Daphnia pulex: one gene and its partner. The protein of the gene in region 2 purifies or fractionates together with the protein of the main gene of each other region. This does not show direct contact. Links are inferred from orthologs where the notes say so. Each region holds a gene or a part of one and is shown on either strand. Other genes may lie near its edges.

Region 1 (2,876 bases), on a different chromosome or scaffold from region 2:
CAACAGACAGCCAAAAAAACGTAAAGGCAGAACGATCCGCAAAACGGAAGCAAAGGAATGGAAACCTAGGGTAGGCAATTTCTTTTGCAACACACCTACCCTAAACACACATTGCTCAGGTTGAACTTGACAAGTTTATTTTACTTAACTTTTTTTTAAAGAAAGTGAATTAAACTTGGTTCCATTACTAAATGATTTGGAAATCATAAAATTTAAAATTTAAGGTCAAATTGTATCTATTTCAGTTAGTTGTTAACATTTTCAGTGTAGGCAGGGGAGAGAGCTTAGGACATTTAAATAGCGTGGGATGTGATGTGTCATTGACATTGACTCATTTCATTTAACGGTTCGGAAAATATTTGAGGAAATAATTCAGTTGAAAGTATTGCAAAATATGTTGGAAAAAAGTAGGCCAGTTAGTTTTATTTACGCATTTACAAGAAATGCCATAAGCCAGTATCGCCAGGTCTCGTGCATTTGTTGCGTAAAATCGATCTTTCCTATTCGCAAGGACGTTTAACCGGTTTTTTAATCATATTCATTCTACATTCTAGCGAGGTCCCGTAATGTAGATATCTCGAACAAGATAGCTCATGAAAAATCTATAAACAACGGCTTTCATCCTCCAGGGTTTCTATTGATAACATTACACACCCAAATTAACACCCTTCTGTTGTCAAAAATCAGTATCCTTCACTTTTCATTTTTGTCTGATTATAAAAAGAATATATGTTCATGAATACACTACACTTTGTCATGTTTGAGTACTAAAACAAAATTCTTCAAGAAATCCTTTTTTATTACTTGGACAAAAAAAAATCATACACCATATGGGATAGTTAGATGGAAAATTGACATTTGACAATACACATCACAGTCAAAATCTTTAAATGGGTTTGATCTTGAAGTGGAGACCAATGAGAGAGAACACGAGACACTTCAAATCCTGGACCAGATAGTAAAATGCACGTAATCCATCAGCATCTCTGTAAAATATTAAGGGAAATTAAACTAATTTACTGGTTTCAAAATAATATAGATTTACTTTGATTGATTGACATCTACAAGGGAGCCAATCTTTGATGTTGAGAATGAAATGTGTTCATCTCCCATGACAATTTCAAGCTCTTGTCTTCCAACACGATCAGGAGTTGGCCACAGGGAATCATCTTCTTGAAGAATTTCAGAGTCTTCGATAACTCGTTTCAACTCATTCAAAACACTTTGATGAACATATGCCTAAAGAAAGAAATCAAATGTTGCAGATCTTGATAAACATATATCTTGTTGAAATTACCTCTTTTCTGATCATGGTGTCATTTTTATAATTGGAATTATTGGCGTATCTCAGTTTGCCTAAAAAGAAATTAGGACGACCCGGTATTTAGTGAAAGGTGCAAATGTGACATCAAATAACATGATATTTAGTTACCATCAGGCCTAAATTCAAACTCGAGAAACTCGTGGCCGAATTTTCCCTTGTGCCCAACATAATATCGTAAATAAAACTCGCTTTTCGGCATTTTGTGTAATAAATTACGATTTGTAAATTTCAGTGAAACAACCCACGCTACTCGCTTGTGTTCTACTGCTGGTTACCCCCTCTCCAAAACAAGCCGAAACATTCATCCCTAAACACATTTTACAATGTCGTTCGCTTTGCAGTGTAAAAAACCATGGTGGTTTAAACCGGGTTTTAACTCAAATTTAATAAATATACTTGGTAATTTGACGATTTGACTAATTTACCGAATAAATTTCATCGACGAATTCAAGTTTAGACAAGTTATTTAGTTTGCAAATTTACCGCCCAGGCGCTCTGTCGCATTTTCAAACCAGGCAAACCGTAATCTCGACTTTTCTCGAGCACAATGCTGAGTTTTAAAATGGAAAAAAAGAGTTGATAGTTATTTTCAATCAACTTCACACTAATTGAATAACATGCGCAAATTTATAAACTATGATTTAAGTTCAGTACGAATGTTAAAAAGAAAAAACCTAATAAGAGGTGAAAGAAAAAGAAGGAAAAAACAGCCCTGCATAAGTAATGATTCCCATGGCAGGTTATATAAAGCCCAAGTCAACGCCAACAGATAATAAGACTGCTTAGTAGTTTTGGTTTACAAAAGTTTTCAGCAGATATTTCGAGATGGGTCTTTTATTGGAAATCGTTGTGATTTGGGTTTGGGTGAAATATTTTACCGAAAAATCTTCTCCTAGTACCAAAAATCAGCATTCATCAGCTGAATACCCAAACAGCGTCGATGTTGAACCGGAAGTTTGTCAAGACACCAGACAGCGGCTCACAGTGGATTCGGAAATGCTAACAACAACCAGCATTCCCGATGAGCAATTCCAAACAGAGGAGAATGGCAAGTTGAAAAGAGACAATGAACGTTTGGCAAATCAAGTTATCCAACTGAAACTTGAACTTTCCACGTTGAGCTCAGAACATGACGAGGTACGTGACGAGCTAATTTCTACCAGGTGTGAACTGTATGCCAAAAATCGAGACATCACCAACTTCGAGAAAACCATCTCGCACCTGAAGAACAACCAATCAGCACTGAATGTCGACGACGTTGATGATTTTAATCCTGCCAACACCAAGTCCGCACTAGCACAGAACAACGTGATACTAGTCCCGGAACAGGAGGATAAGTCGACTCAAACCGTGGATGTGCAACTTCCTACGACGGTCGTTGATAACAGGATTGAGGAACTTGAAGATCAGTACAAAAAGATATGCGCTCATAATACATCTATGCAACGAAAGATGAGAGGGTTCCACGCTGCCCGTAATATTCTTCAAAGCGCAAACGAAAAGCTTGTCCTCCAACTAGACAGCAAAGCAAAAGAACTTGAGGAAGAAAAAG
Region 2 (4,563 bases):
TCAGGTAACGTTGCTGTGTCATTCGATCACGACTCGATCAAACCCCAACTCTCCTATACAGCAGCAGAACGGGCGAACCTTTGGATCACGAAAGGAGGTGGTTGGGGGGACTCGATGTGTGTAAAGAAACGAGAGATGACCATATAAGGCATGTAGAACTTTATACGGTAAAAAAAAATAAAGAAAAATAACAACAAAAAATAAAAAAAAGATGCTAGAGCCAGCCCATTCTAGCGTGAACCAGCCATCGTCTTGGTGAACGAACGGGGCCCAGGTGTATAAGGTCCTATCCTGTTGGCAGCAGACTCCTCGTGTGCAATGGCCTCGTCCTACTTTTTGTTCTCATTTCCCAAAACGTACACAAAATACATACACCCAGATCACGGGCTCATCCATCTGTGATAATCCGCACGGTGCCGGTGATGCTCACGCGCATCACATGGTGAGAACACAGTCAAATGTTCTGTTATGTGCTGCACAGCCGAACTCGCTCACGGCCAGTTGATGATTATTATTTCGGCCAGGTGTGTGTTTGTTACTCTTTCAGGTCGCGTCGGCAATCTGTCGCCTGAATTCTTTCACAATAGACACAAAGTCTCGGTGAACGCATTGTTGTGGGAGCCGATTGGAACGGATCATCAGCGGATCCGTCAACGTAAATTGTCTCCCGCTAAAACCTCAACACATGTGCTGCCTGCAGGAACTGAGTGTTTCAACTGCTGCTGCTCGTCTTCTTCCCTCTTCAAGGTCACGTGACGTGACTTTGTGTGTCAATGTGGGCCATCCCGAAAAAAGAGGGAGGTGTGGCCTTTTCAAGCTCTTGATGTCGTACGCACCCACCAAAGGGGAGAAACAACCAACAGCCCCCAAAAAACCAAAAAGACCAACATTACCATATATGGTCAAGCGACGCATATATTCACGCCGGCTCCCACGCCGGCGTGAAACAGCGACAGCAGCGCCACCGTCTCGCCTGGTTACCTATATTTTCTCCTTTGCTCTTTTACATGTAGACATTTCGTCTGAAATCGGGTTGCGCTTCCGCCACACCACCACTTGGCCTTTTGGCAGATAACGATTAATCTTAGCCAGCAGCCCATTGTGTAATTTCTTGGCTGTCTCGATTAGCGCAAATACCAAACGGAAATGAATGACGTCACATTTTTAGACTTGATGACTCACGTCAGATTATTTACATCATCATCGATGACTGACCGAAGCCTTGAGAAAAACAAAAGTTATCGCCTAGCTGTAACTCATTTGTTTCGACATTGACATTTTGATTGGGTTCCTTTATCTTGTCTACTTAATTTCGGGATTAAATTCTCTTGTAGAGAGAAAATTACGGTTAAAACCACACAAAATTGAGGGGATCACGACGACGAATAGGAAGAAAGAAAAAAAAAATCTTTTCGAGAACTAAACCGGTGCCTGCGTGAAAGCTTCGTCTCTCTCTCTCTCTCGTCGGATAAACACACGAAGTTGACCATATTAAGTCACGTTCTTCTCCACCACCAAAGTCGGACGCTTTTTTCTCTTTCTCTACTTTTGAAAATGGGAAAAAAAAGACGATTCTCATGTTCCGGTTCTTCACACAACTGACTTGAACTTTGTTCTCTAACTGACAGATTAACACACACACAAAAACTCTTTGATAAAAACATTTAAGACCCTCAAAAGTTCAAAAGTGTGTGAGAGAAAAAAAACCGATTTAAACATGTCCTTACATGGTGTTGGACGAGTGCATCCAGATCCCAGTGTCCCAAGGTCAATTTATAGTTGATAAAAAAAACAAAATTTATCCCGATATTAAAATCCAAAATGGCCGAACGTGAGTTTTTTCCCCCCTTCAAATATTATTAGTCTTCTCAATAATGACAGATGGGCAGTTCCTAACATAAGGAGGATGACCTGAAGCCACTATCCCCCTCGTCAAATTACCACAAGTTGTGTGTGTGTGTGACGTACAAGTAAAAAATGGCGTCGTTCGTTCGGGGAAAAAAAAACTGTTGACGAGGGAAACAACGTCTGGAGAAAAAATAAATATAAATTCTTCAAGCGTAAAAAATAACGAAGAGATTCTTTTTCCTGCGGGACAAAAGAGCCGGCCACGACCGTTTTAATCGTTTTGGCGAAAGAAAAAAAAATGATTCGGTTGTTGCTCTCGTTCGAATAGCTTCTGGCGCGGCCACACGGTGAACAGAACGAAGAAACGGAGATTTTCATTTTTTTTCATTTTTAAAAAAAATAAATTTTTTACCCCGGAACACGACAATGAACATCCCGGCCACCATTTTGATGGTTGAGTTCCAAAACCAACATCATGTGGCCGGTCAGTAGCCCCCACTGATGATCCAAGAGCAAGTAAATCAGTCGAGCAGGAAGGAAGGATGTCGTCTATAAATTCCTCAACAGAGCGTGATCGAGATATCTCTGTGCGTGTCACACAAACTGGCGATAAACCTCATCAGACTACCAACTCGTTTCGACGTTCGTCAATGCGACCGAATGATGAGAACTTGTCATACGAATAACCCACCTGTCCCACACGATCAAAAGAATAATGAGAGAAAATGTTGTTACCAAATGTTAATTAAGGGCAAACAGATGAAGAAGATGCCAGAAGATTTGAGAGAAAATGGGTTTTTGTTGCCAGACGACGTTATTTTAGTTCACTCCGTCCGCCGTTGGGGGTTTCTCACAATAAAAAAGATGGACTCGCTTGTTTTACCTACAGGTTGGGGCCAACAAAAAATACGCACATTTGATTCCATTACACGCATTCCCTTAACTACAGAAACAAAACACATAAAATAAAACCCACGAAACCTAACCGAACGAATCTAATGATTTCAAAACAACAGCAATAATCGTCCATCAAAGAAATTCGAGCAGAGTTTCAAAATTTCGACAATAAATTTCAAGCGACCGATATTACGGTTGAATGACTTTTCATCTCTTTATACAACAAGTGGTTGTGTGTGTGTATAAATTATTACCAGCCGAGGAAGAAGAAAAAAGACCATTTTGAGCTGCATCACAGCCACTCGTGGGAAGAAGAAGAAGAAGAAACGCCACCTGACGGATTGAACAACCGGCGGGTGGGGGAAGGGATTCCTCGAGCGGCAACGTTGCCAGTGAGGGAAGCCGGTTTTTAAGATTGCCTTTTATGGTCACGTACTTTCTGATTGGCTGGCTGGAAAGACTTCACAGTCAGACGGAGAAAAAAAGGCCCACCATCGGAATGCCGAATATGATAAAATTTAAAAAAATAAAAAATAAACAAAAAACAGTTCTAGTTGGTGGGGGGAGAAGAAGAAAGAAGGAAATGATGATGACGGGAAAAGATGAAACAAGAGGGGAGACATGTCAGCCATTTTCTCTTCTAACCCCCCCCTTCAAACAACCTTTTGTTGTAATCAATTCTCCCAGGTGAACTTTCTCTTCGAGTCGCGCCAAAAGATGTATAACACGAGCCATCCGCTGATAATCTCATCAAAGTTTATTTTAAGGCTATTTAAAAGCTACTATGCTACACAGGTAGTAAACAACAAAAAAAACCGTTGAAACCCCTAAGCTTTTTTCCCGTTCGTGTAGCAGTGCATCCCCCCCCCTCCACTTGTTCTACCCTAAAAAATCAAAATGGCCGCTCTCAGGTGAAACACCGAGCTCGATCGGAGACAACAACCTGTTGCGTGTATATATTTTTCTCAGTAAATAAAAAAAAAATAAGATGCACTGCTCATCATCCCTGCGGGCCAACTCGATTTCCAAAATGGCGATTAAATTCATTCAGGTCAAATGGGAAATATTTTTAAAAAACACTGGCTATACCCGACCCGCCTTACAGATTGGCTCAATTTGAGAACCCATGTCCTTATTTAGGTTATTTCATAAAAGATGACGGATATAATTGAATCAAAAAAAGAGTCTGATTGCTGAAATCCACGCAAGTTTTTTATTGGCATTATCAAATATTAAGAAGAAGTGTCCGTTGTTGTCTCATTGTGACGTCATTTTGTTCTTTTAGTCAGGGGGGCTGATTCCAGGACCATATCTGTATAGTGTGTGTGTGGCGTGTAGAAAAGTCTGTCCCAATATGGGCAAACTCTAGTGGCCGTAGCCGTAGCCCGCCAGTAGGGCTGTCTGCTGCTGCTGTGGACTTTGATAGCAGCGCCCCCTATATAAAGCCGGCACTCGGTGGTGTAGGAGCGCATTAGCACCGGCACCCCGGCAAGGAATAGTTCGATACCAAGGTGGGTCCTCTCTTCTCTTGCAACTTTTTCTTCTTCTCTTTTTAAATTTCTACTTTAATTTTTTTTTTAAATCTTTTGGAAAAAATTTGTCTACGAGAAAGAAATTTCTTTTGCTATTTTTCACGACGTTCAAGTGGTTCAAAAAGTGATTTTTGGTTAAAAGAAAAGAAATTGGTGTGAATCGAGCCAACAAGTGGTTGATGGGCGTTACCGAGTGCGCGTCACATTCTTCTTGACTTCTTCATTCTTTTTGTCAATTGCACCCACATTAACGAAAAGTTATTTGCACACCAACAGGGATCCCCTC

What was found.
Region 1: the proteins of partner of Y14 and mago-like (region 2) and protein mago nashi homolog purify together in Drosophila melanogaster (affinity purification with western blotting; 4 studies listed by BioGRID, with this or other methods). This does not show direct contact. The link is inferred for Daphnia pulex from reciprocal best matches to the Drosophila melanogaster genes Pym and mago.

Annotation. Positions count from the first base shown.
Region 1 is NC_060025.1:2,833,385-2,836,260, forward strand, and holds protein mago nashi homolog, read right to left. Parts: upstream 1,621-2,876; 5' UTR 1,524-1,620; coding exon 1,433-1,523; intron 1,357-1,432; coding exon 1,298-1,356; intron 1,240-1,297; coding exon 1,046-1,239; intron 987-1,045; coding exon 887-986; 3' UTR 779-886; downstream 1-778. Other genes in the region: uncharacterized protein MCAP_0864-like, read left to right, coding at 2,150-2,876. UniProt on the Drosophila melanogaster protein: Core component of the splicing-dependent multiprotein exon junction complex (EJC) deposited at splice junctions on mRNAs. Involved in exon definition of genes containing long introns, including the rolled/MAPK gene.
Region 2 is NC_060028.1:8,802,790-8,807,352, forward strand, and holds the start of partner of Y14 and mago-like, read right to left. Parts: upstream 3,083-4,563; 5' UTR 3,000-3,082; intron 2,953-2,999; exon of another isoform or gene 2,835-2,952; intron 2,732-2,834; 5' UTR 2,584-2,731; intron 1-2,583. UniProt on the Drosophila melanogaster protein: Regulator of the exon junction complex (EJC), a multiprotein complex that associates immediately upstream of the exon-exon junction on mRNAs and serves as a positional landmark for the intron exon structure of genes and directs post-transcriptional processes in the cytoplasm such as mRNA export, nonsense-mediated mRNA decay (NMD) or translation.